Pelodiscus sinensis: one gene and its partners. The protein of the gene in region 2 interacts with the protein of the main gene of each other region in a biochemical or structural test. Links are inferred from orthologs where the notes say so. Each region holds a gene or a part of one and is shown on either strand. Other genes may lie near its edges. The genes, in order: CRTC2, SIK2 and HDAC5.

What was found.
Region 1: of the proteins of SIK2 (region 2) and CRTC2, one has a biochemical effect on the other in vitro, tested with the Homo sapiens proteins (2 studies listed by BioGRID). The link is inferred for Pelodiscus sinensis from reciprocal best matches to the Homo sapiens genes SIK2 and CRTC2.
Region 3: of the proteins of SIK2 (region 2) and HDAC5, one has a biochemical effect on the other in vitro, tested with the Homo sapiens proteins (2 studies listed by BioGRID). The link is inferred for Pelodiscus sinensis from reciprocal best matches to the Homo sapiens genes SIK2 and HDAC5.

What each region holds. Positions count from the first base shown.
Region 1 is NC_134734.1:23,285,939-23,296,412, forward strand, and holds the start of CRTC2 (CREB-regulated transcription coactivator 2), read left to right. Parts: upstream 1-5,971; 5' UTR 5,972-6,028; coding exon 6,029-6,193; intron 6,194-10,474. Other genes in the region: SLC39A1 (zinc transporter ZIP1), read left to right, coding at 807-1,451. UniProt on the Homo sapiens protein: Transcriptional coactivator for CREB1 which activates transcription through both consensus and variant cAMP response element (CRE) sites.
Region 2 is NC_134736.1:6,543,607-6,553,106, reverse strand, and holds the start of SIK2 (serine/threonine-protein kinase SIK2), read right to left. Parts: upstream 3,818-9,500; 5' UTR 3,675-3,817; coding exon 3,525-3,674; intron 3,289-3,524; exon of another isoform or gene 2,968-3,288; intron 1-2,967. UniProt on the Homo sapiens protein: Serine/threonine-protein kinase that plays a role in many biological processes such as fatty acid oxidation, autophagy, immune response or glucose metabolism.
Region 3 is NW_027466028.1:522,080-532,349, forward strand, and holds the start of HDAC5 (histone deacetylase 5), read right to left. Parts: upstream 4,573-10,270; 5' UTR 4,545-4,572; coding exon 4,367-4,544; intron 2,820-4,366; exon of another isoform or gene 2,660-2,819; intron 1-2,659. UniProt on the Homo sapiens protein: Responsible for the deacetylation of lysine residues on the N-terminal part of the core histones (H2A, H2B, H3 and H4).

The DNA of each region.
Region 1 (10,474 bases), on a different chromosome or scaffold from region 2:
GGGGCGTGGGGGGGCGTGAGGGGAGTTTACAGGGTGGGCGGGGGCACAAGGGGTACGGGGCAGGGCTGCCCATGGCTTTGGGAGCGGGGGGGCCACGTGCTCTCTGCCGGGATCTAGCCTGGGACTTGCTGCTCTGGGGGATTGGGGCCTGGGCGGGGCCGGGGCGGGGCCTGGGCGGGGCCTGGCCGATGGGACGGGAGGGGCTTGTGGGTGACTCACTGGAGCGACACGCCCCTCCCCCCCTTCCCACGCAGCTTCCTGGCAGCCAGCTGTCCCAGCTTCTCGGCAGTGATGCCTCTGGCTCCGCCCTGCTCTGCCTCTCCCAGCACGGGGGGGTCCCGCCGTCACTGCCTGTAGGGGCCCCCCGCTGCCCCAGAGCCTCTGCTCCTTGGGCTGCCTCCAGCGCTTTGCACGGGCTGGTTCCAAGGGCTCCTGCCCAAAGGGAAGGCTTCCCTCCCGGCCCCCCATCTGCCCGCGGGGTGGGTGGTCCGGGAGCCCGGCTCTCGGGGCTGCCGGGGACGTGGCGTCCGAGGGAGGGTGGGGAAGCTGCGGGCTGGGCTGGGCGGGGCCCCTCTGGCCCCAGGAGCGGGCCAAGGCGAAAGCCAGAGGCTCCAGACGTGCCCCTCACTGTGGTGTCCTGGCACCGGTCAGGGGGAAGCGACAGCTCACGGGTGGGGCCAGTTGGCTGCGCCACCAGCCCAGCTGGAAATGGGGCCCCTACTCGCCCCCCCGCCCCAGGCCCCGAGCAGCGAGAGGGGGGGCGAGGGGACCGGGTGCCCAGCTGACCCTGCCCCTTCCCTCTGCAGCTCCAGTTCCCCCTGCAGGAGTTCATCTTGGCCATGGGCTTCTTCCTGGTGCTGGTGCTGGAGCAGATCGTGCTGGCCCACAAGGACCAGTCCGGCTCGCTCGAGGAGACGCGGGCGCTGCTGGGGGCCTCGGTCCAGGCCGGGACGGTCCAGGCGCTGCACTGGCCCGAGGAGCCCCCGCGCCCCCACGCGCACTCGGCCCTCCGCTCCTTCCTGCTGGTGGCCTCGCTCTCGCTGCACTCCGTCTTCGAGGGGCTGGCCGTGGGGCTGCAGGAGACCAGCGCCCAGGTGCTGGAGATCTGCTTGGCCTTGCTCCTCCACAAGTGCGTCATCGCCTTCAGCCTCTCGCTCCAGCTGCTGCAGAGCCGCCTGCGCCCCCGGGCCGTGGCCGGCTGCCTGCTGCTCTTCGCTCTCATGTCCCCGCTGGGGATCGGCGTGGGCGTGGCCCTGACGGAGACCTCGGGCGCCCTGCACCAGCTCTCGCGCAGCGTGCTGGAGGGGCTGGCCACCGGCACCTTCCTCTACATCACCTTCCTGGAGATCCTGCCGCACGAGCTCAGCTCCTCCCAGCAGAGGATCCCCAAGGTCATCGTGCTCCTGGCCGGCTTCGCCCTGGTCACCAGCATCCTCTTCATCAAGATCTGAGCCGCCTGGAGGAGGTGCGAGCGCTGCCGGGGGCCTGGCCGGAGCCGGCGGTCCCTCTCCCGGCGCGGGGGGGCCGGAGCCGGCGGTCCCTCTCCCGGCGCGGGGGGGCCGGAGCCGGCGGTCCCTCTCCCGGCGCGGGGGGGCCGGAGCCGGCGGTCCCTCTCCCGGCGCGGGGGGGCCGGAGCCGGCGGTCCCTCTCCCGGCGTCTCCAGCTGCTGTCTGACCTGGGCTGGGCGCTTGGGTCTCCTCCCCCACACATCCCCGCAGAGAAGCGATTCCCCAGCCCTGGCCAGGTGGCAGGAGCCCTGGTGCTGTGGGCAGCGCAGGAGGAAATGCTGATCGGTCCCTCTGGGGCTCAGGGCAGCATCCGCGACCCTGCTAAGCCAAGGGCGCCAGGCCGGGGAGGTCGGAGGCAGGGCAGGGCGCCACTGCTGTGGAGCTGGGCACCGATTCGGCTAACCCCTAGGGCACGTGCTTGGCTCAGCTGGGGTCTGCCGGGCTTTGGGGTGGCTCTGCTGCCCTCTGTGGGGCACAGCTCCTCTGCAGGGGGCAGTTGCCCACTTGGTAGCATGGCCCTCCCCATCCCTGGGAAGGCAGGGTCGGCGTGTTCCTCCAGCCAGAGCGCCCAGCCTGGGGGGTGCAGGGTAGAAGGGGGCTGACAGCGCCTGCAGTCTTCCATGGCCCTGCTTTGCTCAGGCTGTTCCTGGGGTGGGCCTGGGCCTTTGCCCTATGCCAGAGGAGCCTGGCTGTGCCGACACACCCTTCCCCTCCCTGCAGGGTTTCCCCCAACTGGAGGGCAGCAGGGCCTAGTGGCTAGAGTGCTGGAGTGGAAGCCCTGGGGTCTCTTCCTGGCCGTGCCGCTGGGCGATCTTGGACAAGTTGTGGCATGCCCCGTGCCTCAGTTTCCCCATGTGTAACCAGGGCACCGGGCTCCCCTTCGGACAGGGTGACAGCCGTAAGAGGAGCTAGAGTGATGAATTATTGTTTTTAAGGAACACCAGCTGTAGATGGTGGTTTGTTTTAGAGGCGCCGGTCTGGTCCCAGAGCGTGGTGACGTGGGGCTGGCGTCCGTGTGACCAGGGCTGTGCGGGGGGATAGAAACGTGCCTTAGAGCCGCCCAGTGTGGCTGCCTTCCTGCCCGACGCCGTGTAACCCTGGAGTCGCCCTGGGAAGCCGGGCCTGCCCCAGAGAACTCGTCTCACGGGTTCTAGCTGGCGCAGGCAGATCCGCCGTTCCTGGGCAGTGCTGGCCAGTGGTCGGGCGACAGGGTCCAGTGGCCTTAACTCCTGCTCGGGGAGCCCGTCCTGCTATTTTTATACACTGCCCTTTCCGGGCTATTCGGCTGCCTGGCAGGCCCAGCCCTTTTAACGCAGAGTCTATTTTACTAACTCCCCTTCCCCGTCGGGACGCGGCTGCGGGGTTCCCATGCTGACTGAGAAACCCGTAGAGGCGAAAAATAAACTGACGTGAATCTAGCTTCTTGGGTGCCGCGTTTCCCTCGCCCTCCCCCGAGCAGCGACATGTCCTGGCTTTTGAAAAGCCCTTTCTTTGCGGGATACGTGCCCGACTACAGAGAGCGGGCTTGGGGGGGAGGGGTAGCTCAGTGGATTGAGCCTTGGCCTGCTAAACCCGGCGTTGTGAGTTCAATCCTTGCAGGGGCCAGTTAGGAACCTGGGGCAAATCCGTCAGGGATGGAGCTTGGTCCTGCTGTGGGGCAGGGGATGGACTCGATGACCTCTCCCTTCCAGCTCTGAGATAGATCTAGCTCCATATAGGACCACACACAGCCAGACCCAGGCCTGGGCTCACGTACAGCCTGGTGCCCCTCAGGGAACGTGCGGCAGGCTCTGGCCAGCTGCGTGGGCCAGCTCCGGGCAGGCTCTGGTGCACTCCGAGCGCCCGACGCGCCCTGCAGCGTGCGGATCTACGTGCCGGCTTGGTGTGCACTGCTTGCTCAGCCCGCTGGCCGAGCGCCCCCTCCAGTCCCTGCGGGGCCTTGCACGCTCGCTGGTGGGAGCCGCCGGCTGCGGCACTAGTCCCTGCTAATCCTGCACCGCAGCCCCAGCGTCAGCCTGTGGGTGCCCAGGCCGTGCTGAGCGGGTCCGTGTGAGAGCAGAGCCCTCTGGGCTAGACACAGAATCCTGCCCCTTCCCACGGCCTGGCCCGGCTCCCCAGTGCCCAGCCAGCCCTGCACGAGCCGCTCCAGTGCTGGGGCGCACGGGCAACACCGGGCCACTGTGACTCGTTGGCTTTGGCCGGTCCCCTTGGGGCTCACCCGGCCTGTTGGCTGCACAGGGATCCTTGCTGTGGTCCGTGAAGCAGGACAGAGCCAGCCTCTGGCATGTGTGTGGCTGGGCTAGTGCCAGTGTTCCCTGCCCCCGCAGCTGCAGTGAGAGCAGGTTCGCCTCCGACCTGTGGGGCTCCCTGGGGCTGGGGAAGGGATCCCCTGGCTGCCCCGGGGGCCGTAGGAATGCTTTGGGCCTGCCCCTGTGCTGGACATCCCTGCACTGGTGCCCAGCCAGTCGGCAGGGGAGGCGTTCCAAAGGGGGAAGGGCATGGCTCGGTGCCCGAGCAGGCCTACACAGACCCCCGTGCGGCAGGCAACCGGTCCGCTCCGCATGGAGCTAGCTGCACGGCTGGCTTTTGGGGCGGAACGAGCCCCGCTCCCGGCCTGCTGGATGCTCTCGCCCATCGGGCTTCGCTGCTAACCTGGCTTGCCCGCCTAGGTTGCCGGGGCCCCTGCCGCTTCGGGATCCTTCCCGGGAAATCAGAGCTTGGCTTGAGGTTAATCAGGTCACAGGCGGGTTGGAGAGGCTCCGGGCGCTTGTCAGATGCTCTCCGGCATAAGTGCTGGGGGTCTAATGCGCCCAGGGCCCCCAGCCCAACCTGGGGCAGGTCACTGCAGCTTGGGATGGGGGGTTCCGCTATTTGCCGCCTCGCAGGGTCTGTGAGCTTTGCCCAGCGTCTGTCGGGCGCTTTGCTGGGGTTAGGGCCAAGGCCGCGCTGTGTGACCCGGGGGCGGGGGGGGGGGGGAATGTCCAAGCTGGGGAATCGATGTGCCTGCCCTGCCTTGGCCGGTCTGTCCGACCGACGCTGTTCTCCGTGCCTGACGGCTCTGTAAGTCACTTGACTGGACGCCTTCATGTGGTTCTCGCCGCCTCTTTTCCTTTTCCGGCCGGGCGGAAGTTTGCACTGGCCTGGGGGGGCCTGGAAATTCCTTTTGCAATTTAAAACAAAATAATGCGGGGGGGAAGGGGAATGTCTGCCGTGTGATGTGTTTGCACGAGAGGAAGCACATGCACTTTGCACTGGGAATGGCAGCTGCAGGAGTCTGAGAATTCATTCCACGGCGGCGAAAGCTCTGTCTCTTGCACAGGTTTATCCTGGCCTGGGCATTGGTGCCAGGAGCCCCGGGCGGTGTTCCCTTTCTCTGTGCAAAGGACAGTCAGGGGCCACATTCACTAGTGCCCCGTGCAGCGTTGTTTTTCTTTGTACGAGGGAATGGTGCAGATGATACTAAGCCGCTCATGAGTGTTAAATCCAAAGCAGACTGAAGAGCTTCAAACTAGGTGACTGGGCAACAACACGGCCAATGAATTTGAATGTTGACAAATGCAAAGTAATGCCCATTGGCAAACACGATCCCAACTTCACATACAGAATCAGAGGGACTAGTTGAGCTATAACCACCCAAAAGAGAGATCCTGGAGTCACGGCGGAGTCCTCTGAACACATCCCCTCGTGCGCAGCAGTATTCCCTTTGCCTGCACTCAGCAGTGGTGCAAAGGGCAGCCCGGGGCCAGGTTCACTAGTGCCCCGTGCAGTATTCCCTTTCCCTGCACTCAGCAGTGGTGCAAAGGGCAGCCTGGGGCCAGGTTCACTAGTGCCCCGTGCAGTTTTCCCTTTCCGTGCACTCAGCAGTGGTGCAAAGGGCAGCCCGGGGCCAGGTTCACTAGTGCCCCGTGCAGTATTCCCTTTGCCTGCACTCAGCAGTGGTGCAAAGGGCAGCCCGGGGCCAGGTTCACTAGTGCCCCGTGCAGTATTCCCTTTCCCTGCACTCAGCAGTGGTGCAAAGGGCAGCCCGGGGCCAGGTTCACTAGTGCCCCGTGCAGTATTCCCTTTCCCTGCACTCAGCAGTGGTGCAAAGGGCAGCCCGGGGCCCCGCTGCGAGCTCCAGCCGTTGTGTAACAACCAAAGCAGGAGCCTCCGGCGCCCGCCTCCCGCCCCGCTCCTGAGTGGCCGTAGCGGGCCCGGCCGTGCAGGTTCGGGACGGACCCGTGGGGCCTGAGGGCGAGGGAGCGCGGTGCACGACGGGAGCTGCAGTCTTCGAGCCCCTCGCCAGCCGCGAAGGAGCGCGTGCTTCCGCCCCGCGCAAGACTACGCCTCCCAGCAGCCCCGGCGGCGGCGCGCTCGGCACTCTGGGAGCTGTAGTGCGCTTCCGCCGGCCGCCCGCTAGGGGCGCGCGGCGGGCGAGGTGGTAAATAAACTACGCGTCCCGCCCTGCCCCGCGCCGCCGTGTTGTTCGGCGGAGGCCTGTGGCCTGCGAGGCGGCGGCAGGCGCTGCCTGGGCAGGGAAGATGGCGGCGTCGGGCTCCGGGGCCGGGCCCGGGCCGGGCTCCTCGGCCGCCGCCGGCGCCTCCAACCCGCGCAAGTTCAGCGAGAAGATCGCGCTGCAGAAGCAGCGGCAGGCGGAGGAGACGGCGGCCTTCGAGGAGGTGATGATGGAGATCGGCTCCACGCGGGTGAGCGCCGGGCGGGGCCACGGGCGGGGGCCGGGCTGTACCATGGGGGCTGGCGGGGGGTCGGGGGCTGGTGGCGGGGCCGGGCTGTACCATGGGGGCCGGCGGGGAGGGGGCCGGGCTGTACCATGGGGGCTGGTGGGGAGGGGGCCGGGCTGTACCGTGGGGAGGGGGCCGGGCTGTACCGTGGGGAGGGGGCCGGGCTGTACCATGGGGGCTGGCGGGGAGGGGGCCGGGCTGTACCATGGGGGCTGGCGGGGAGGGGGCCGGGCTGTACCATGGGGGCTGGTGGGGAGGGGGCCGGGCTGTACCGTGGGGAGGGGGCCGGGCTGTACCATGGGGGCTGGCGGGGAGGGGGCCGGGCTGTACCATGGGGGCTGGCGGGGGGTCGGGGACTGGTGGCGGGGGCGGGCTGTACCATGGGGGCTGGCGGGGAGGGGGCCGGGCTGTACCATGGGGGCTGGTGGGGAGGGGGCCGGGCTGTACCGCGGGGAGGGGGCCGGGCTGTACCATGGGGGCTGGCGGGGAGGGGGCCGGGCTGTACCATGGGGGCTGGCGGGGAGGGGGCCGGGCTGTACCATGGGGGCTGGTGGGGAGGGGGCCGGGCTGTACCGCGGGGAGGGGGCCGGGCTGTACCATGGGGGCTGGCGGGGAGGGGGCCGGGCTGTACCATGGGGGCTGGCGGGGAGGGGGCCGGGCTGTACCATGGGGGCTGGTGGAGAGGGGGCCGGGCTGTACCGTGGGGAGGGGGCCGGGCTGTACCATGGGGGCTGGTGGGGAGGGGGCCGGGCTGTACCATGGGGGCTGGCGGGGGGTCGGGGGCTGGTGGCGGGGCCGGGCTGTACCATGGAGGCTGATGGGGAGGGGGCCGGGCTGTACCATGGGGGCTGGCGGGGGGTCGGGGGCTGGTGGCGGGGCCGGGCTGTACCATGGAGGCTGATGGGGAGGGGGCCGGGCTGTACCATGGGGGCTGGCGGGGGGTTGGGGGCTGGTGGCGGGGGCCAGGCTGTACCATGGGGTATGGGGGGAGGTCACGGGGGGGCCAGGCTATATCATGGGGGGTGGGGAGGGGGGAGCCAGCTGTGGCGGGCGGCGCTGGCTCGGGGTGGGGGGCGCTCTCTCTCTGCAGCAGGCGGAGGGCGGGGCGGGGGTGTGTCCCTGGGGGTGGTGCTGGGGGGCCTGGCGGGACTCTCGGGGGGTGGGGCGGGGGTGTGTCCCGAGGGGAGCCTGGCTGGACTCTCAGGGGCCGGGGGGGGCGTGTGGGTCCCTGGCGAGGCTGGGGGGGGGGCTGGTTGCTGCGTGGGCCCGGCAGGGGGCTGGGGTCGTGGCCTGTGGCCGCCACTGGCCCGCTCAGCTGGGAACGTGGATCGTGGGAAGCGCCTGGACTGCGCTGTCCCGGGGCCGCCCACGGGGGAGAGGCCTTCTCCTTCGCTGACCTCCCCGGCTCTCGGCCACGAACACGGGAGGCCGAATCCAGCAAACCTGCCCCCCCAGCGGGCCCTGGGAGAGCGGTGGCAGCGGTGGCCCCAGGCGTTAGGGCAAAGACTGAGACCGCGGCAACAGGGAGCTGCTCGCCTGGCCCGTGGCGCCCTGGGATCCGGGAGGGCCCCCCCCCATCGGTGCTTCGTCCAAAGCTTTCAGGAAGGGTCCCAGGGGGCTAAGGAGAGGGCCAGGCGGGGAGCCCTCGGTGAGTGGTTCTGGGAGCCGGCGGGGGCTGTGCTGTGTTTCCCCCGCCCCCTCCCTGCGTAGGAGTCCGCATGTGCCCGCAGCGAAGGGGACGGGTTGTTCTCCACGCAGCCCCTGGAATCGGTGGGGGTTGTGTGAACCTTGCCCAGACTGGGAGAATCCGTCCGCTCCTTGGACGTGAGATTCCCTTCCCAGAAGAGCTGCCGATGGCGGATCGAGGGGGGGCAGGTGCGTGGGGGAGGGTTTGAGATCCAAGGGCTGAGGGATCCGGGTGGCAGGCCCTGCGGACTGGTCGTATGGTAGAGAAGGGACAGAGGCCGGCAGTGCGGTTGCGAGATTGAACAGGCTCCTGGGCTTGAGTGAGGAGATCGGCCCTGGAAGAGGAGTCTCTGGGGACTGGGGGGGTCTGGGCTAGGGGCTTGCAGCCCCCCGTGGCAGCAGGGCCTCAGCACACGCCAGCTGGTGATAGACAGGCGTTGCCTGGGGTGCCCTCTGTCCCCGGGTCACTGCTCCGAGGCCGGACAGAAAGCCGTTCCCGAGCGTGTCCCTCGGTGTGCTGAGCCAGGGCTCTCTGACGGGCGTGCAGGTGAGAATTAACGGGTGAGCTGTCTGGGCTGGGAGCCGGCCCTCTCGTCCTGGCCCAGGGCTCCTGGGCGGTGTTTGCACAGCAAACAGCTGGTTAATGTACAGCAGAGCTGGGGGCTGCCGGCCGAGCCACCCTCTTCGCGGCGCGGGCCCTGCGGGGCTGCCCGGTGATCCCTGCAGCCGGCTGGCCAGGAGCCGTGCGAGAGCCCCGGGGTGCCAGTGGCTCTGGTGCCGCGTTGAGCGCCCCCGTCCTGCGTCTGCTTGAGAGCTGGGCCACGGGAGCTAGAGGGGCTGGCGTGGAGCATGTGCTGGGGGCCCGTCTCGGGCTCGGCTTGTCGGGAGCCTCTTCGCAGCCCTGCCAGACTGGCTCCGGGCTGTGCTCGGGCAGGGTGTTCCTGGGGGGCTCGGAGCCGGGCACGCTGTGGAGTGGCAGCTCCCCTCCCCCCGCGGGTCTGAGGGCAGTTCTGTCTCCATGGCCTCAGTGCTGGGGCTGCCGGCCAGGCCCTGGCTGGAAGCTGGCTCCTGTCAGGAGTTGTCCCACGTGTTGGCTAGTGTGGGCCATTCCCCAGGCAGCCGCTGTCTGAGGCCGGGCGCCCTGCGTGGCCCTTCGGCTTTGCGGCTGCTTTATTCCAAGCTAGCGGGTGCTGGAGCCCTGCTCGGGGTCTGCAGCTGGCCGCCAGGGGCCTCCGTCTGCGCGCACGTGGGGGGGGGCACTCGCTGTGCCGGAGCTGTTGGCGGAAGGAGCAGTCTCTAGCCAGGCCAGACGCTGGCCCTGCCCCGAGCCAGGGACTGGCACTCAGACGCCGGTGGGGGTGGGGGGGTGGACCGGCTGCGGGGGGCAGGGAGGAATTCTGCCCTCCCGCTCTGAGCCGGGGGGCAGCCTCCCTGGGATTCCGAAGGGGGCTGTCTGCTGGGTGGGGTCTGCCTCTCCCGCTGGGGCAGTGGAGCTGAAACCCCAGGGAGGCTCCGAGCCCTAATCCTGGAGCGCGGCAGAGACAGCTGGTGCCTACGTCTCCCCTTTCCCGGGCTCTGGATGTTGCCGGTTTTAAGCTGAGGAATTTACAAGGGGGCTTTGTAGCCGCAGGGGTGTCTGAGCTGCTCTGCGCTGCCCACACTCGGGGGCTCCCCAGCAAACTGGCCCGGGGAGCCTCTTCCCTGGCGGCTCTTCTGGCTGAGCGACGGCTGTTGGACCCCTGGGGGGGCTGGTGGCTGGTTCTGCAGCAGAACCCGGAACCCTGGTGCTGGTGGAGATGGATTTTCACTGATGCCTGCAAGGGGGGGGTCCTGGCTTTCTACATGTGCTGCCCCATCGCAGGGCCCTCTTGGCGGGCACAGGAAGGGCGAGGCGGTCGGTCTGGCCTGGCCGGTGTGCCCCGGTCCCGCAGGATGGCCGAGCAGGCAGCGGGATGGGCACCGTGCCCGGGGTTGGAGCTTCCCGGCCAGCGTGCTCCTGCTCTGGGCTGAGCCCCGCCTGCTCTGCTCCTCTGCCCCCACCCGAGGGAGGCTGGTGCCCTGACCCCAAGGCCAGGAGAGGGATGCTGGGATCCTGATGGCAGGGGCTGGCCTGTCGTGGGAACCCGCGTGGCCCTGCCCTGGTGGTGGCCGAGCCCCGGCGCTTGGGCCATGGGTCTGTGGAGACGCTCTTAAAATATCCCAGTGTGCTCCCAGGGCGGTGGCGGGGCCCGGTCCCACGCCGGCCTGCGGCCCCTTGGGGCGGCGCCAGGGGCTGGTCAAGGAGCCGCAGCGGAGATGTGCCAGCCGGAGCCTGCCCGCTGGAGACGGAAGCTTTTTCTCAAGGCTACACGGATTCCCTGCCCCCCACCTCCTCCCCGCCAGGGCCTGACTCCTGCTGCTCCCCCTGCCAGCTCCCCTGCCCCCCGGGCCTGGCCTGCAATTCCTGGGGCTTTGCTGTGCAGGCCCCGTGCAGAGCCCGCGGTTCCCCAGAGCTGCTCGCACTGAGCCCCGGAGCTGGCCAGTCTCTGCTGGGCTCCCGTGGGCGCGGTGGGGCTGCCC
Region 2 (9,500 bases):
TGGCTCAGGCACGCTCTCCTGGGTCCACCACAAGCTGGGCAGGTCTTAGCCACACCATAGGTCTTGAGCAGGTCTTGGCCACTTTAAAGCGGCCACTCTGTGCTCTGAGCTCACTAAGGAGCAAAGTGCCCCAAGAAGTGCATTTGGAAAGGCTGGGCTGGGAGTAGGCTGTGGCTCCTGCTGCAGTGGCCGGGGCTGTGCTGCCCAGCACAGTGGTGTTCCTGGGGGTTGGGGCATGCAGCTTGACAAATTCACGGAAGGAGGCAGGGTGTGCGTAGCGAGGGAGCAAGGGGGAATAATGTGTGTGTGAGGATGGGTGGTGCAGTAAGGGGGAATGGTGGGGGTAAGAGGGATATAGGAATGGAGGCAGGGGGATGGGCAGTGGGGGGCGCAGAAGGGGAGGTGTTAGGGAAGGATGGGGGCGCAGGAATGGAGGAAGGAGGTATGGGTAGGGATAGAAAGTGTGGGGTTAGGAAGGATGGGTGAGTGCAGGAATGGAAGCAGGGGGATGGAGGTGTAGGAATGGAGGATGGAAGTGAGGAGTAGGGATGGAAGGAGGGGAGCGGGCTGTGGGGCATGGAGCTCCAGGATAAGGACTAGTGGCCCAGATTACTCCACCAGGCTCTCTTCCTGCCTGGCCCAAATCTGGTTCTCAGTAGGGCACAGGCATGTTAAGCTGGGAGCTCCCCCATGGTTCCATGGTTCTCCATCATGCCCTGTCCAAACTAGGGATATTAAATATTGGTTAACTGAATAGTCGATTAACCTCATGAATTCTTATCAGTTAGTCAACTATTCTATAGTCCCTGGGTGTGGGGGGGAGGAGGGGAGCAACCAGTCGCTTACATCTCTACAAACTTAAGATAGTCTTAAAATATAGGAGGTTAAATGTGAGATGAGCACAGAGCAACTCCAGAAATACACGTACGTGTTATTAGCTACACACTGAGTTTCAATGTTCTCCCTTCTAGAAGAATCACTGGAAGCCTCAGCAGATCAAGAACCCTTCCAATGTCTTGCGTGTACACATGTTGCAGAGCTGGTGGAACTCACTGGCCTGAATTTGAACAATGTACAGCAGTGGTCCCCAACCCAGTGCCTGCGGGCGCCATGGCGCCCGCTTAGTGACCAGGGCAAGCCCAAGCCATTCTTGCGCCCCGGGCACGCAGTGCATGCCTGGCCCGTACCCCGGGCACCCGGCAGCCCCAAAAGGTTGGAGTCCACTGATTTACAGTACTGGTACTTGTTCAGAATGTTAATTTCCTTTTCCATTAGTGAGAGTTAATAAGGTCCCTCTCCCTTGCAATTCAGCTAGCTGCACCTACTAACCAAACCCTATGCTTATAGATGTCTTGTTGTAGAAAGAAGTGATTGTGCAAAATAAATAAATAAAAGAGTGTACAACCTGGTTTAATCTCAAAATTTTGGAAACAGAAAACCTGCTACAAAAATTATGGGTAATATATAGGTTTAATTTGAGCTGGATCATGTGAAATACAACTGTTATTCATAACTTCACTCTGCCATTCACAGTCCTGGAATCACCCCCATCATGGTAGTAGCAATTCACAACGTGAACTATAAAAACAGCTTTCAAATTGAACACAGCATTCAAAGCCCTAACCAAAATGCAAATCTATTTAACCAAATGTAAACTTATTTCTACTGACCTTTAGTAAAGTTTTTAGAACGTACTTTAGTTCAGGCATTTTTTAAGCTAACTTGAGTCAAACTGAGTGTTAAGTTGTTTGGACTTTATATAATTTTAAGTTTTCATAAAACCGAACACAGATCTAATATCTGAATTACAATGAAAAGTTATGATTGACACAGCAGTGTCACTGAGACCAGATGACTGAAGACCAGAAAACAAATAGATTTATCTACTGCCTTATAAGTGAAACATTAACACTGTAACTCAACATGACTTAAAATTCCAACTTCCAAACTTGGGTCATCTTTTGTAGCAAGGAAAGGATTTAAAAAGCATTTGACTTGGTGCCTTTACTTCTTAAACTGCAGTTTAAGCCATAACTTGATTAAATTTCCTTTAATGCTTTGGATTTTCATAGAAGCACAGAAACGCAGGGTGGAAGGGACCTCAAGGTCACTAATATTGTGCACAGTTTTGAAGAGTGACCACTACTATGTGCCTTCAACAATTTTAACAGTCAAATTACCATTGGAGTTAAAAATGTAGTTCTGCCTCCTGTCTATTGATACTTGTATCATTTAAGATCACTGTGAGTGAAAACTTACAGCTTTTAATTGGTTTACTTTGTGCTTTTGACATACCGTAGTTTTGTTCAGTTTCCTTGTCTATGTGGATCATTCACATCACATCAAAGGAAAAGGTTTATTAAAAATAGGAAATATAACAATTAAATCCATGTAGAGGAACTGAACGTATTCATTTTTTTACAATGATTAATCAATGAGATCCACACATGCTGCTTCCATCAGATATTTAATATTTTAAAAATATATCTAACTACCTTTTTACCAAAGCAGACTAGTAGTATAATTATACATAATGCATAAAATAATTATGGTTTTCTGAAACTGGTATTGAATGGATAACTTGCATTTCTGAAAAGATGACTGTTTTTAATTTAGTACCCAGACAGGCTGATTCAGGGGAATGGGATATGAAGGAATCATTCTTCAAACTGAAGTACTGAAGCTGGCCCTAACACCTGAAGATACTACCCGGAATGCAAACGGGACAGCAGAATAAGGAACAATTTAGCCTTTTGGATTCAAAGCTGCAGTGCTTGATTTGTGCTGGGGCTTGCCAGGTTAGACACATCGTAGCCCCAGCACCCTTGCACTTGGCACCTCAGGTATGACAGTAAAATAATCGCCTGCTCCCTTGCACCTAATGGTTTGCGCCCCAGCCCCTCTGCAGTTACAAATGAGGCGCTGCAAAGCTGTTCGGCGTTGGGCCGTGACAAAGAGATCAGCCACCTGCTGACCGCTCCTCCTGAGCTGACCATCCCGAGACCCGCGCGGGGAGGAGTTGTTCTCCACCGCTTCGCTCCGCCACCAGCGCAAGCTGGCCCCAGGAGGGGGGGGGGGATCCTCAGCCACCGTGTCTTGCTAGCGCCGGTACCGGCAGCCGCAGAGGGGCAGGCAAGTGCAGGCTCCAAGGCAAACCCAGCGCCCCGTCGCCGGCTCGCGCCTGTCCGGCTGCGGCCGCCCCAGGGGGCCGGAGGAAGCTCGCTCTGCTGTCACGGTGACTGGGAGGGAGGCGAGCTCCAAGGGCGAGTCCCCCCCCCCCCCCAGCCGGACCCCGCGGGCGAGAGGCGGGGGGGCGGCTCCATCCCCGGCCCCGCGGCGGGACAAAGGGAGCCGCGGGCCGGCGGCGCGGATGGCTTGGGAGGGCAGGGCGCACCTGGTGCCACCTCCGTCCTCTCGGCTCCGGCCCCCGTGGCGGGGGGAGGGGAAGGGTCTGGCCCGGCCCCGCCTCCTCACGAGCCGGTGCCCGAGGGCGGCCCGGTCCCCCCCCGGCCCGGCCGCCTCACCTCGCTGCGCGTGATCCGGTGCCGCCCCAGCTTCACCACGGCGAAGTTGCCCTTCCCCAGCGTGCCCTCGATGTCGTAGAACCCGACGCGGACGGGCCCGGGCCCGCGGGGCAGCAGCGCGGGGGGCCGCCGGGGCTCGGCCATTACCATGCTGGGCTCGGGGGGCGGCGGCGGCTCGGTCCGTCTGCGGCCGTGCGGCGCCCTCCAGCCGCGCCGCCCCGCCCCCTCCCCCCCTGCTCCGCGCGTCACCGCGCGCGTCAGCGGAGGAGGGGTCTCGCCATGGCAACCGGAGCCACCGCCGCCGGAGGAGCAACGGCCCCCTGGGGCTGTTCCCTGCGTGGCGCCCCCTCCCCCGGCAGCGGGGCTCTCCTCAGAGCTGTCCCCAGGAGCGCGCCTCCCCTCCCCCCCCTCCGCGCCGGCTTGTGCCTGGGCGAGGCCATTCGGGGGGGGGGGGGAGACTAGGCTACCTACACGCTCCCCCCCCCCCAGCCCTAGTTAGCCCTGGCTGCCTCTGCTCCCACAGCTGCTCTACCCAGTGGGACTGAGGCCTGTGGGGGAGGGGTGCACAGAGGCTCCCCAGGGGTGCAGCGAGGGGGCACCCCATTCAGCAGTTATCGGGAAGGGGTCAAGGGGGGGCAATGCACCGTCCCAATGCTACCATATGCATTGCTGGCAGGACCCCCTCATTGCACCCCCCCGCCCTTCCCTCCACCTCTGTGCCTGTCACTTCCCTGGGCCTGCGCCCCCTTCCTTGGGGGCATGGAGCGAGCTGGGCCCCCAGACCTGCCCTGCTGCTGGGCCAGTCCCACCCTGCACCAGACCAAGGAGCTTCGGGGGATTAGGACACAATCAGATGCACACACATTGCCCAGCGCTCACCCCCCCTCAGGCGCCCCCGGCAGGGGCCACTTCGCCCCAGGCAGATGGCTTGAGGGCTGACAGAAGCCCGGCTCCCCGTGGGTAAAAGAGGCAAGGGAAGGTGATGCCTATACAGACTGGGGCCAGGAAGCAGGGGCCATGTGCCACTAGGGGCCTGTCCCTATGGGACGTGGGGTTGGCTCCCATGGCGGGCCTTGGGCAGCAGGGATGGGGCTGGGGAATTGCCTCTCCCAGTACTAGGTTCACCCACTACCCAGGCTCCAGACAGAGGCCAGGATGTCCAGTATTGTATTAGGCTAGCCTGGATGGGCACCACGCACTAGGTACTGTACAAACCTGTAACAGACATCATCCCTGCCCCACATAGTCTCATGAGTCCAATGTGCTATGTTACTCTCCCCTCTGCATCAGCAGTGGCTCATGTACTGATGTATTTACTGTGTGTACCTGTACTGAGGAAAGGTTTGCCAAAAATCATTAATTAGCAGAAAAAGGAAGCTACACTGTTTACTTCTCCACCCAAAGCCTCCAAGTTGGGCCTGTGCTTGCTCAGTCAGCAGGATGGGGATCCTCCACATTGACTAAATTCACACCTTAACAAAGGACAATGGGGAAACTGGTGTTCACCTTCAAAGCTACTATTTTCTGAAGCAAAATAACCTACTTCCCAATGACAGCAGCATTTCAACTGGGCGAGGATCACATCTGTAAGGAAATACCCCCAGTACATACACACCCCTCCTTGTCAGTAAGAGCACGAAGCTCTTGCGTTGGGCAGTGTTTCCAATGGGCCAGCTACGGCCCAACGGCGACATTGAAGGCTGTATTGGAGGCTTTGATTGCTGATGAAAAGTTCTGAAATACAACTTCAAAATAACATCCAGGGAAAAAATTGCAGCTGAGAGAACAGCCTTTCTGCAGATGGTTTTGCTACCCCGATTCACATCTTGTTCTGCTTCAAACAAAGTGATCCACCAAGTACTTTGCACACACTTTTACTTTTTTACAGTGACCTGTGTGATCTCAAAACAAAATATTGAGGAATTATATTCAAAGTCAACTTCACTAACGATCCAAGAGTATCAAATGTGAAGCTCATGTGCCCTCTAGTGGACAACTGCCCTATGTATATTAATAGATCACTGTAGGTGTTATAAATTTAAGGTGTCAAAGGAGATCTTCTGATTAATTTCTCTCCTCTGCACATATTACAAATTAGGATAAATCCAGCATATGAAGAGATCGCAGCAATGACACCGACAGTTGTCTGTGCTAAAAGATAAAATGAGTTGCGCTAAAAGATAAAATGAGTTGCTAGAGAAGTCTGGCCAAAGAAGGCTCAATAGTCCACTAATCCCCCACACTCATTCAAAACTAATTAACAGCTTCAAGCAAGAAGAAACCAAAGGCACCTACTTTCAAAGATAAAGTCAGAAGACAGGCACTTCTCCCAAGATTTTCAGAGCCAGTTGAATCCATACCTGAGGCAGGGAATCAGACTGAATCCCATACAAGGTGAAAGCGCCTTTGCAGTGGTCTTACCAGGGTAATCTTAGAACTGTTCTATCCACATATTTCAGGTCTTTGCACTGGTGCTGCAGTGAAATTTTCACCTTCATTAGTGAACTCCACTGCTAAAAATCAGACTGTGGATGTTTCAAGGACTGATGAGCAGTCTGGAATATGCTTCCCTAATTAAGAGATCATCATATTAGAGCATTCACTTACTAGGTGAAATGGGAAAGCTCTGGTAAGTACAATAGTGCAGTATAGAGTCACAGCAGTTCCCTAGAGAGAAAAAGTTAGTTCATTGCCACCAATATTTGTTGTTGACCTCTGCCAGTAGAGACAATGCAGACCCATTTGGTCCATCCTCACTGCCTGAAGAAACCAAGTTAATTGTGGTGTCAAATCTGCCACAAGTTGCGATAGCTTATGGTACATTGAGTCTTCATAGTGAAATAACAGCAAACTAAAATATTGTTAATATTTAAAGTGGTGGATTAGACATGGACCTGCAGTTCCTTTGTTCTAATCCTAGTTCAGCCAATGAGTTGCGTATTCTTGGGCAAGTTATATAACTCCCGTCCATCATCCCAAAAGGCACAGTGCCCAAGCAGTGAGGTTTTATTGATGGTTAATTGCTATACAGATCCAAACATGGAGAATGTGGGATACAAAGCATCAGAACTATATTTCTAAGTTGTTAGGCAGTAATATTCATAGGTATATACTTCAAGGAGAAAGTTGTGTGGGGGACTTTATTCTTAGCAAGGAGGCCACCTATGTGCCCTCCAAATTATAACCGAGTACTTGGAATCCTGTCTCTAACTCAAGACAAAGAGGAACAGAACTGACCAGCGGGGTAGAGAGATGCCCACATGTCTTGTTTTGATAGTTGAGATGACATACCTTTTCCTTAACTGAATCACACTTTTACCCAACTGACAATTGTGACACCAAAGAACAAAATAGATGAATTTTTTGCAACGAAACAGGGTTACAAAAAAGGCGAATGCAATTTTGGGCTGTTTACAGGAAGAGACCCTGTCACAAGACTGGGAATTAGTCATCCTCCACCAGGCCCTGATCCCACCATGTCTGAACCTTGGCATCACATCTTGTAGGCATCACATCATCTGTGAGCACTGTGTTCAAAAAAAAGAGAACAAAATATCTATACCTTGGCTAAGGGGAAGGACATAACCCTACCGTTAAAGAATGGAAACATCAATGGGAAGGCATTTTTTTAGTGTAGCAGTGCTGTATGTGTAGGAGTGATTGGATGAAAAAAGATTTTTTCTCCCTAATATGCAGCTTAATCAGAGCAATGTATTAGGCTACGGAACCCTCTCATCCCAAAAGCAATGGAAGTGCAATTGCTTGATGCTTAAAACAAGGCTGAACATAAGAACGGCTGTACTGGGTCAGACCAAAGGTCCATCTAGCCCAGTAGCCTGTCTGCCGACAGTGGCCAGCACCAGGTGCCCTAGAGAGGGTGGACCGAAGACAATGATCAGCGATTTGTCTCTTGCCATCCTTCTCCAGCCTCTGATAAACAGAGGCCAGGAACACCACTTCTATCCCCTGGCTAAGAGCCTTTTATGGACCTAACCTCCATGAAATTATCTAGCTTCTCTTTAAACTCTGTTATAGTCCTAGCCTTCACAGCCTCCTCTGGCAAGGAGTTCCACAGGTTGACTACACGCTGTTTGAAGAAGAATTTTCTTTTATTAGTTCTAAACCTGCCACCCATTAATTTCATTTGGTGTCCTCTGTTCTATGAAACAATCTTGTATTGGTTCCTGGGAGAGGGAAAGGATGATTTACCATCTAGCTTCTTGTTCTTAACTTGGATATTCTGTGTCTGTGAAATGGTTTGGAGCAGATTTATATTACTTTCATTAATTATAAGTGTGAAGGTGAGAGTGTTTCACTAGTTTCATCTTTGGTTTCGCTGGTGCCTGCCCTTTTCCAAATAACTTGGGTTGATTGCCCAAAGGTGAACTCAAACATATCTGACTGCAAGAAAGCACGTTTTCCATTAAGCTTTTGCCTCTGTCCCACAAGCAGCAGCTATGAGAGGAGTGCAGGAATCACATCTGTTAAACATCAAAGAAACTTTTTTTATCTCTGACACAAGCACCTGTCCTCTTTCCAGTCTGAAAGCAGCCTTAAACTTGAAGGAAAAGGGAACACTTTGGCACTGAAACATTTAACTTGTTCCTGCACCAATGGCTTGAAAGGTCTCCACAAATGGCATGCTAGATAGGCGGTGACAAGTTCAAGGAGACTTGTTCTTATCAGTTACTGTCACCACCATATTTAACATTTTGATTTCAGAATGAGGAAAGAACACAGCTGATGTGTTATTCGCTCCCCTTCCAGATAAAAAAAAATGAATGTAGGGAGCTTTAATATTTAGGCAAAATGTTTCAAAATTAGTTTACTGAAATTAACTACTTAAAACCATATTTCAACACCTAAATATCTGGCCTGAACTTCAGAGGTGCTGAATGCACTTAGAGACTTTCACTGACTTCAATGAGAGCTGCAAGTTGTTAGTTCTTTTAACAATAAGGACATTCATTTAGTTACCAAAATAGGGATGTAAGAGCATACACACCCAAGTTTTACTACGTTGCCTGAGCTTTGTACTCTCTTTACCTGTTTTTCAAGGACTCAAAGTTGCTTATGTTCTGGCTAAAAACAGAATATTTCAAGATCTGAAGAATAAAAAAATGAATACACATACAGCTGCTTACTATAATGCACTAATTCATTTAATGAATCCCAGGAAGTTAGCTATCACCAGTCAGTGGCTACCCCCTTCCTAGTGCCAATCATCAGCAATTGCCTAGCATTATCCACACTGGTAGTCAACTGGCAGGTTATCATTTTCTCACTAGGAAGTGGCCATATTTTGGCAAGGATTGAACTTGGACCCCTGAAGTCAATGACAGGCCACCAAATCCTGACCGGCAGGCACTCTCTCAGATTGCCAGCTATCCAAGACAGGCCCTATGTCTCTATCAACTTGACCTGTAATACTTATGAACAGACAGAAACAGCTATAGCAACTTACAAATATTTTAATGTTTGCAATGAATATGACTGGAGGCATACTGCTCCAGAACTGGCTCCCTGAGTGTTTTTATTGGCAGAGTCAACTCACAGCAACGTCCTGCACTCACTTCTGTTGTTTTTTCACTCCCATATAAACATGTTCTGCCAAAGCCTTTGGCGCATCTTTGCTTCCTAGAGACTCCTTCAAACTGGTTTTGCTTCAGTCTCATGATATTTTTTGAAGTGCAACAGAAGAAATAAATGTTGCATGTGCTCTGTAAGTAGCTACTGACATTTCAGATGCTTCAGAGCCAGATTTGTTTGATGACAGGATGTAGCGGCATGAGTTTTTGTATATTTCCTCATATGGCCAGAGAGACTCACCTGTGGAGCAGTATATGTCCATAACTACACCTCTCTTCCTCACTTATATCACTTTCCCTCCCCAACCCAATCTCTAATCAAGAAAAAAAAACAGATGGATTAATGATCTGAAGGCTGGAAGCTCCTTAGAGGTTTCTTAGTGGAAGC
Region 3 (10,270 bases), on a different chromosome or scaffold from region 2:
TGGCAGGAGCTCTGCACTGCAACTTGGGAGATTGGCTCTGCCACAGCCTCCCTGTGTGACCCCAGGCAAGTCCCTTAGCCCCTCAGTGTCCCAACAGTGAAATGGAGAGAATTCTTCCTTTGCCTTGTATATCAGACAGTTAGCTCCTGTCTCTTCTGATGCGTGTGTGCACAATGCAGCTTGGATCTCAGCAGGGACTTCTAGATGCTACAAATAAACTGTAATCTTGTCTCTCTTACCCCACTAAGTCAGAAAGGCAACCCAAGAGAGAGAAGTGTAAGACTCACTAGATCCTTGGGTGGATCTTTTTAATAAGTCCTCTCTGCACTGTGATAGCCCATGGCAGCTATTCTAGGACCATGTCACTGCTCCAGGCTGCTTAAGCAACATTTCCCCTTCACACACTAGCTGCTATTTCCTCCCCCCACCCCAGAATCAGCTGCATTTAGGGCCTCAGTACACAGAGCGCGCCGGCAGATCCTTTTTGAGTGAGCAGCGCTAGAGCTACATGATTAATCAGGAAAGGTGCAGCCTGAAATCAAACGCCCTCTGATCGGCTCAGAAATCTGCTGGGACAAGATTTGAATCCCAAGCTATGGACAGGGCCTGCCTGCAGCCAGGAGACTAACTTTCAACAGTGGCAATACTACAAGGACAACAAAGGCAGCTTAGAATCTGAAAGCCACTGAAGGGACCTCACTGACCAAGTCCCATTAGCCGCCACGATCAGTATTTAAAATTAGCCACAATATTTAAGATCTGAGCCTGCAGCTTTCTGTCAAATTTCGAGACAATCCAAGGAAGGTTTGAATTTGGGCCAAAGTTAGTAAGCATCTCGGGACAGGGGCTGCCTCTTCGTTCAATGTTTTATATAAGGCCTAGCACAGGGATGGGCAAATATTGGCCTGCAGGCCAAATGCGGTCCAGCAGAGTTAGCTCCTGGAGGACCCCGCTGCTATATTTACCTTCACGGCCACAGGTACTGGCAGTCGCAGCTCCCGTTGGCTATGGATCACCGTTCCCAGCCAACGGGAGCTGCGGGGAGCAGTGTCCTGGTCCATGACTGTTCAGGTAAATATAGCGGCAGCGGCCCACCAGGGCCAACCTTGGCAAACAGCCGCCATGTTATTGCCCACCCCTGGCCTAGCAGGACGGGTCCTGGTCCTTGACTAGAGCCTCCAAGGTGCTATATAGCAAGTTGGCTCAGAACAAATAATGATGTCTCCTTTCTAGAGGTAGTCAGGACCCAAGGCAGCTTTAAGTGGAGGCCCTTGCGGGACACACCTGTCTCCATCAAAGGGGTAATGGTGAGGTACCAAGAGGTGGCCTGTAAAAATCAAACAAAATGGAAGTGAAACCCCTTGAAGATAATAATGTAAAGCAGCTGCCTCAGACTTGATTTACCTCCGCAACGGACACCTTAGGGCTGGCTCTGCCACCAGGCTCAGCAACAACCGAGAGTAATGGAGGATGCTAGGGTCTGGTAATTAGGGCTCAGTCTGAAATCAAGCGGCCCCTTTCCATCAACATCAATGGGCTCTGGACCATGCTCATCATTATGAGCACACAGCCCTGCCAGCACCTGGGATTTCCCTGCCTGCCTTGCAACCAGCCACTGTTTTCTGAAAGGAGATGCGTGAACGCAGGAGCCTCTCCGCCTTCATTTACCTTGATAGTTCTCTGCTCCTTGTGGTGGCCAAGAGAAGCTTGAAAAAATGAAGCCCCAAAAGGCAGAAAAACTGGAAGTCAAATAATAAGAACCCAACGTTTAAAAAAAAAGAAAAGTTTGGGAGATTTATTATGCCCATCTGGTGATTTCTGAGCTTTTGGGACTAACAAGCATTTCATTCGGCAGACCCAGAAGGGATTCCTGTGACCCTCTGGGCCAAGACCCCATATCACACAGGCCACAGGACTTCCTTTCATTAATTTCTGTCTAAATTAGAGAAACAAAGCAAGAGTCATGTCCATCTGCATTCTAACCCATTGACTACCTTCTCCTCCCAAGGCAAGGGCTAGAACCCAGGAGTCCTGCCTACCAATCCCCCCCAGCTCAAACCACTCGACCAAAGTCCCTTCTCAATGCTGTGTATGGAACTGTATGTTCATCTTGGCATTAACCCCTTCCTGCCCATGCCCCCATTCAGACTATAAGGTCCTTTGAGCAGGCCTATCTTTTATGGTGAGAGGGTCCAGCTGTCAGCACAATGAGGCTCTGATCCCAACTGAGATCTCTATAACCCTTCTCCTCCTCCAAGGCAGGAGTGACTGAATCTGGAGGCTCACACCTTATCCAAGGTACAGAGCTAGCAAGAAGGGAGCTCAGAGAAGAGAAGCAAAATAACGAAGGGTGCGGCCTCACAGCTGAAAGAGTTAAACAACAGGCAGACAGAAATAGTAATACTCCGCAGACATCCGAAAGGGTGTAAGCACACAGGGAGGGAGGGATTTGTCACTACGCAAGGAGGACAGGAATGCAGGGGGGAAAAAACGAGGATGAATACTAGGAAATATTTCCCGGCAGCCAGCTATGTGAGGGAAGGAGAGGGGAGCCCTGTCATCTATTCCCACATGCCCTGGATGGCACTTGACCAGTCTCTCAACTCTAACCTCTATGATCCCATGGGGGTCACCAGACTGCCTACTGCACCATGCGTACCTGCTCACAGGCCAGGTTCAGCTCTCAGCCACACCTGCATCAATGCACAGCAATGCTGCCAAAGTCAATGGTGTTAGTCCTGATTTACACCAGCGTGGCTGAGAGCAAAGTCTGGCTCCCCACTGGCAGCACAGAGATATGCTGGTCCTGGCATGCTGATCTGAAAGGAACACAGACAACCCATTAGCAAACCTATTTTCCCAGAGGAATGCCTTTCCTATCATGGCCCCATTTTGCAATTTCACCTGCAAGAATAACAAGGCACAGATGGAGAAGGAAAGAAGGGAGAGCAGGTCCGGGAGTAAATCCTACCCCTCCCATCATCCCGCACCGGAGAAACAATCTGGCTCCAAAAGCAAAAGGGAAAAGAGCCCCAAGACCAGCACTTGCTACTGCACCTTATCCCCTAGCAGAGTAGGTCTGGCACCGAGCAAACAAAAATCATCACCCATCAGGGAGCTGGGAGCGCTGCAGTATTTCAGATGGTCCTCCTCCAAAAGATGCAAGTAGGAAGGATCAATTATTTAAGGGCAACTGCCGCTTCTCAGGACCCTTTTCATTCCCCCCGCATGCGCACTCCCTCTGCCTAGGTATTTATAGCACACGGCTAGCGTGCAAGACAAGGCATCAGCAAACCTTTGTCTCCCAGGCAATAACAGACACACATTTTCCTTCTCCCACCACTCCCAGGCCAGCTAGAGATGGGAAAAGAAGCACCAAGCCCTCTAGCAAGAAGGTCAAGAGACAAGATTTTGATTCAAAACAAGGGGCAGGAGGAGGGCATTCATGCATCTGAACAAGCTTTGCATCCTCTTGATCTCCCATGCAGGCATCACGGGGTGCACAAAGTTTAAGCTCCTACAAGGCAGGTTTCCAGACAAAGGGATCTAAGGATGGAGGCAGGCCTCCCTCCCCACTCCCGCCCACTAGCCTGAAGAAGCTGCAACTGCCAGGCACAAGAGGATGCAGAGGAGGTGGAAAAGCATGCATTCCCTTGTGGAGTTCCAGAATGACCCCCTCTTTAAAGGCCCAGAGGAAAAACCAGCCTGTGTTGGTCCTCCCTTACCCCCAGCACCTCTGCCCATCGACAGCCACATGCCACTCTTTGCTTCCAAGAAGTGGCTTTTCCTCAGCCCAGGCTAGTGAGGTGTGATGGGCACACACCCCGTCTCACAGCCCCAGGCGCATCCTCCCAGCCCGACCTACCCCAGACATACACACAGCCCAAACTGGAGCTCAGCCAGTCCTGAGCACCATCTGCACTGGAGGCAGGATCCCCCCACCCCACCATGCGGACAGCGCTGCCGTTTCATAACCAGCGCTCTGTGTCACAGGCACAGCCTCTGCTCCCCTGCCTTGGCCCCCACCCACAACCCGTTCCCCGCAAGAGGAGGAGAGTCTCGGGCAGGTGCATTAGCAAACACCCCCAAGGGTGCCAATGCAGCAGCCAGCCCCAGTAACCCACCCATGTCTCAGCGCTCCCTGCCGGCCAATATCCTGCCCCAGAGCCCGCAGCCGGGCAAGTGACCTGGACCAGGCTGGCTGCCCCGTTCTCTCTGTGGCAGGTGCAATCCCGTTCGAAAGGGGGCTTCGCCCTGCACCCCTGCCCGGGGCCCGGGCCGAGCCGGCTGCCCTTCCCCGGCGCTGGCATGGGGCAGGCGCTGGAGCCGCTCGCCCTGTGTCCCCTGGGGGCGGCCCCCCCCTTACCTGCTACCCAGGCCGGTGGGCGGCTGCAGCGGGGCCCCGCCTGGCTGGGTGCCCTGGCCAGCCCCTCCGCGCCAGGGATCCGGCTGCCCGCGGCTTCACCGCCAGCGCCTCCGCTCCTCCATCTTTGCAGCTGGCTCTGCGCGCAGCCCGCTCCGCGCCCCACCACCAACAACAACATTCGGTGACGTCACTCCCCGTCACGTGACGGAACCCTGGGCTAAAAATAGCCTGCCTGCTCCGCTCCTTCCCCCTCCTTTGCCTGGTCCCCCGAGGGCGGGGCCTCCAAGAAGGAAGGCGCGTCACCCACGCGGCCTTAAAGGGCCAGCGGAAGATGGGGGGGGGGTGCAAGCCCAGCTGGGCCCGGCTAGCGGGACGCCCTTAGGGCCAGCGGAAGATGAGGGTGCAAGCCCAGCTGGGCCCGGCTAGTGGGGCGCCCGTGGGGCCACTGGAAGATTGGGGGGGTGCAAGCCCAGCTGGGCCCGGCTAGCGGGACGCCCTTAGGGCCAGCGGAAGATGGGGGTGCAAGCCCAGCTGGGCCCGGCTAGTGGGGCGCCCTTAGGGCCAGCGGAAGATGAGGGTGCAAGCCCAGCTGGGCCCGGCTAGTGGGGCGCCCGTGGGGCCACTGGAAGATGGGGGGGGTGCAAGCCCAGCTGGGCCCGGCTAGCGGGACGCCCTTAGGGCCAGCGGAAGATGGGGGTGCAAGCCCAGCTGGGCCCGGCTAGCGGGACGCCCTTAGGGCCAGCGGAAGATGGGGGTGCAAGCCCAGCTGGGCCCGGCTAGCGGGACGCCCTTAGGGCCAGCGGAAGATGGGGGTGCAAGCCCAGCTGGGCCCGGCTAGCGGGACGCCCTTAGGGCCAGCGGAAGATGGGGGTGCAAGCCCAGCTGGGCCCGGCTAGCGGGACGCTCTTAGGGCCAGCGGAAGATGGGGGTGCAAGCCCAGCTGGGCCCGGCTAGCGGGACGCCCTTAGGGCCAGCGGAAGATGAGGGTGCAAGCCCAGCTGGGCCCGGCTAGCGGGACGCCCTTAGGGCCAGCGGAAGATGAGGGTGCAAGCCCAGCTGGGCCCGGCTAGCGGGACGCCCTTAGGGCCAGCGGAAGATAGGGGTGCAAGCCCAGCTGGGCCCTGCTAGCGCGGCGCCCGTGGGGCCAGTGGAAGATTGGGGGGGTGCAAGCCCAGCTGGGCCCGGCTAGCGGGACGCCCTTAGGGCCAGCGGAAGATGGGGGTGCAAGCCCAGCTGGGCCCTGCTAGTAGGGCGCCCCTTGGGGACACATTGAAGTTTCACAGCCTAATGCTCCACAGTTAGCAACATGTCTCACAAAGTTCCCCCAGGGCAACCTTTGTGCTGCCTGATCCCCAAACATGCACGCAGCATTCACCACTCAGGCCTGGATGCATTCTTTTATCCCTATTGCTTTTCTGCCTCAGCCCATATGCAATCCCCCCCCAAACCTCACACGGGCACAACACGGTCCGTGTGTGTTTCTATGCACCTCTCGCAGCAGTTAGCCGAGCATGCCACAGATGCTCATGAATGTAGACCCAGTCAGAGGGCCCATAATCCCCATTTTACAGATGGGAAACTGAGGCACAGAGAGACAACAACCAGGCTGCGTCTAGACTGGCATTATTTTGCGCAAATACTTTTAACAGAGTATGTGCAAATTTCATTTTTGTAGAGGCCAAAGCCTGGCACATTTTCACAGAGCTGGTGAAAGGCACAGCCCTGACTCCAGCCTGATCCTCCTGCCAAATTTCACTACAGCTTCTTGAATAGCTGTAAGAGGTCTTTTAACATGAACAAACCCATTTGTTTTCCCCTCATCTTATTCTGGGAAATGTCTGAACTGTTTTAGGTGAAACTTTACAAAAATATTCAGCTTGAGGTCAATAACCTGGCATAGAAAACATTGGTACAGCCCTGCACATATACAAATGTCTACTCACGGATGTGGATATCCATGGATAGACATCGGGATCCACAGATCAGCAGGGTTCTACCCCCAAGAGACACTTTGGCCAATGAAGAGGAGCGTGGTCCCATCACACCAGAGAGACAGTGCCCCATGTCAGCATCTCTGTGATGGGATGCAGTCACAGAAGACTCCTTGGGAGGGTTTCCCAGCGTGCTGACAAGACCACTGCCACTTGCCTTCCTGCCATCTAGCTTCTTACCACTCTGTCCTGCTGGGCCAGCTCCTGGTCTCCCCCAGCCAAGGACCAGAGCTGAGATCACTGCTCCTTCTTCCCCCGAGAAGCAGTACTAACACTAAAACTCTTCTGCTGCATCTAGACTGGCAAGTTTTTTCGCAAAAGCAATGGCTTTTGCACAAACACTTGCCAGCTGTCTACACTGGCCGCTTGATTTTGCGCAAAAGCACTGACGTTCTACTGTCCAAAATCAGTGCTTCTTGCGCAAATGCTTCAGGCAAAAGCCCTTTTCCGGAAATGTTTTTGTGCAAGAGGGCCAGTGTAGACAGCTAAAAACTGTTTTGTGCAAAAAAGCCCCGATGGCGAAAATGGCGATTGGGGCTTTCTTGCGCAAAACCGCATCTAGATTGGCACAGACGCTTTTCCGCAAAAAGTGCTTTTGTGGAAAAGCGTCCATGCCAATCTAGACGCTCTTTTCCGCAAATGCTTTTAACGGAAAAACTTTTCCATTAAAGGCATTTGCGGAAAATCATGCCAGTCTAGACATAGCCTTGAGGTCCAAGGAAATGGAGTTTGGGGCCCAGCTTCCCAGGATACCACTCCCCAAATGGGATCAGAACTCCAAAGGAATTATTTAGGTGAATCCCCTTTAACAATGAAAGGGGGAATGTACACACTGGCTACCCCCAGGCAACAATTATTTAAACTAGGCTTGATAGTAAATAAAAGTGATTTTATTAAGTACAAGCAGTAGGATTTAAGAGGCAATAATTGAGAAAGGGCAGAGCAAAGTAGATTACAAACTTAAAATAACAGAAAACTCTTAGCTAATTCTAACACTAAAACCCCGGTACAAACTCATTACAAACTCACTCTAAAACTGTTCCTTTCCTAGTAAGCCTTCAAACCAGGGCAGCTCCTCACCCTGGGGTCTTTGGGTCCTTGCCTTGGGTGTGGAATGCCAGCCAGCCAAAAACAAAGACCCGCTAGTTTCCTATTGTTTTAAAGATTCCCATTTTTGCATGAGAAGTTACCTGACCAGTCCCTACAGCTATGTCTAGACTGCAGAGTTTATCCTGGAAAAACTCTGCCGCGTCCAGGGAATGTGTTCACATTTTCGGAACAGTTTCTGAAAACGTGGGCATGTTCTGTCAGCATCTCTGTATTCCTCATTTTATGAGGAATAAGGAATGTTCCGAAAGAGGAAGTTTTTCCGACTTTTGGTCCTGTGTAGATGGGCCAAATGTCGGAAAAGCCTCTTCCAAAAAACAAGCGGAAAAAGATACGCAAATTTCAGTTCGCAATTTGCGTATCTTTTTCCAAAAAAACCCAGCAGTGTAGACACAGGCTACTAGTTAGGGAGGTCATGTGACTTCCTAAGACAAACCCCTGCTAAGACTTAAGGACAAAAGGCAACTTACATATGACTGCCCAGACACTGAAGCATCCCAGCATTGGAAACACTCTTGATGGCTTTCCTTTGCACATTTAAAACCATAAAGAATCCCATACTCCATGCATCTAGTTTTACACACAAGAATGATACATACACCAGAATAAGATAAAGAGATCCAGTGGATTATGACATGAAGATTGATAGGTTTGTCATGATCATGAGGGTTAGCCAGCAGCCTGGGAACTAAGGGGTTAACCTTACCTAAGTCAGGTGCATTCAGCCAATAGGAATGCAGGTAGGAATTTCAAACTGGGACAAAGGAATTTTTGGTTTTTCTCTCTTTTTGTTCTGGGAGTTTCTCTACAGCTATTGAAGGGAACAGGATGTCTCCCACTAAGAAAATACTCTTCACGTCTGTAAGTAGGATAAAGTTTAGATAAATCTGTTAGGTTTTATTGTTTTATGGTTTGGGAAATGGGATCTGATGTCTGTGCATTTAAAAATGGGTTTGCTCTCCTTTGTAACTAAGTTCCTGGCCCGTGGTAGATTTCTCCTCCATTAGTATATTATTTTGCTACTTTTCCATCTAGTCATTATGCTTGCAACAGGAATATTGTGGTGATAATAAAAGTTTTTTCTCTTTTATTTTTATTAACCTGGTATGGATTAATTTTTGTGTCCTAGTTTGTACTTTAGGGATGAGATTTCCCAAGTGATCTCTCCCCTGATTTTTGTATCAATACTTGGGTGGTGGCAGCGGAATTTTTATCCCCAAAATCTAGGTTAAGATTTTGGGGGGAAGTTTTATACCAAAGCCTGGTAGATAAGGTTTTGGGGTACTTTTGCTGGCCCCCACTTCTGCATTTATCGTGCCAGAGTGGGGAAGGAGCCATGACAAGGTTACATGAGTTAATTTGTCCGAAGCATCTTTGAGTCATGTATATTGGTGTTCATAAAGCCATTTCATAAAGCACGGGGAAGGGTCCATCACAATCTCCTCCTGGTTGGGTGACTGTACCGTTCCTCCTGGTCACCAGCAGGGCTGTACATCCCCAGACGGGAGACACCGCAGCTGGGGGCAGAACAACTGTGCTGCCAGCATGGTGCATTGGCTCCTGTGCACACCAGGACCTCGCTTCTCTCCATTGGCTGCAGTGTCTCTTTGGAGTAGCTCCCTGCTGATCTGCAGATCCCGAGGTCTATCTACGGATATCTACATCCATGGGTAGACATTAGTATCTGTGCAGGGCTCTAAATCTCGGTCCCACCCGTTAAAATTTGGCACAAGTTATAAGCAACCAGGAACGGGGTTTTAAAATGGAAAATGGTAGGCAACCTTAACTACAGGGCAGCACTTTCAGTCCCCTGGAGGAGGGAGGGAAGGGCCTGACATGTTTGCACATGCGTGTCCGTGTCCTCCACCTCCAGGCCCTGCGGAGGCTCCTATATGATGCAGGTAGTCCAGCATGGAGCATGCTGGCACCTGCTTTCCTTCACCACTTCCGAAGGTTCCGATATGACCAGCAGCTCCTTTATATGAGAGGTCTTTTGCGAAACCTCTCTGAGCTGCCGGCCTTCTACCAGGACCTCCTCTGGACCTGGAAGCTGCTTGCGGTGACCAGGTCCTTGGGAGCCAGCGTGGGAGCAGACCTCTTCACGGAGCCCCTGCTACCCAATCCCCATCTTCGTGTGCAGGCGGCGGAGTCCCTCTCAGTGTCCCAGAAGTTGGTCCTGGCGGAGGTCACCAGAATCAGAGACCTCCTGGACTGCGCCCGGAGAGAATGGGTGGATCCTCCCGCGCTCACCCAGCACATGGGACTCTCCACCCTATGTATTCCCTGGCATGTACTTCAGGAGGTGAAGGACACTTTGCCGCCCACTGCTCAGGTTTACTCCTAGTCCCTCACTCCTAGCCCTCCTGATCTCTCCATCAGTCCCTCGCCTTGTGTACCTTCTGACCATCTCCCTCTCATCACCCAAACTCGCTGCACACATTGCAGCCGGTCCCCTTTCAAACCATGCCAAAAAGTCAACTGTACACACTCTCCACTTCCCCAACCTCTTGTCTCGCCCAGATACCAAGTGGCAGGACCTCCTACCACCAACAGAGGGTGGGGAGCCTTGTCAACGTCCTCCTGGCTATGGCCAAGATGGCAATTTATAAAATGAAGGCGCGGAAGTTGGCTGAGGGAGGGACCTATTTCCATTCCTGCACCCGTTCACACATCCAGGCAGAGTTCCGCTGGGCGGTGTCCACTTTGGAGGGCAGTGGGTGCTGTCCAGGGTTCTCTGCTCAGTGTCATAGAATCATAGCACAGAAAGTGAGTGTATGCTCTCACTGAGGGTATGTCTACACTACAC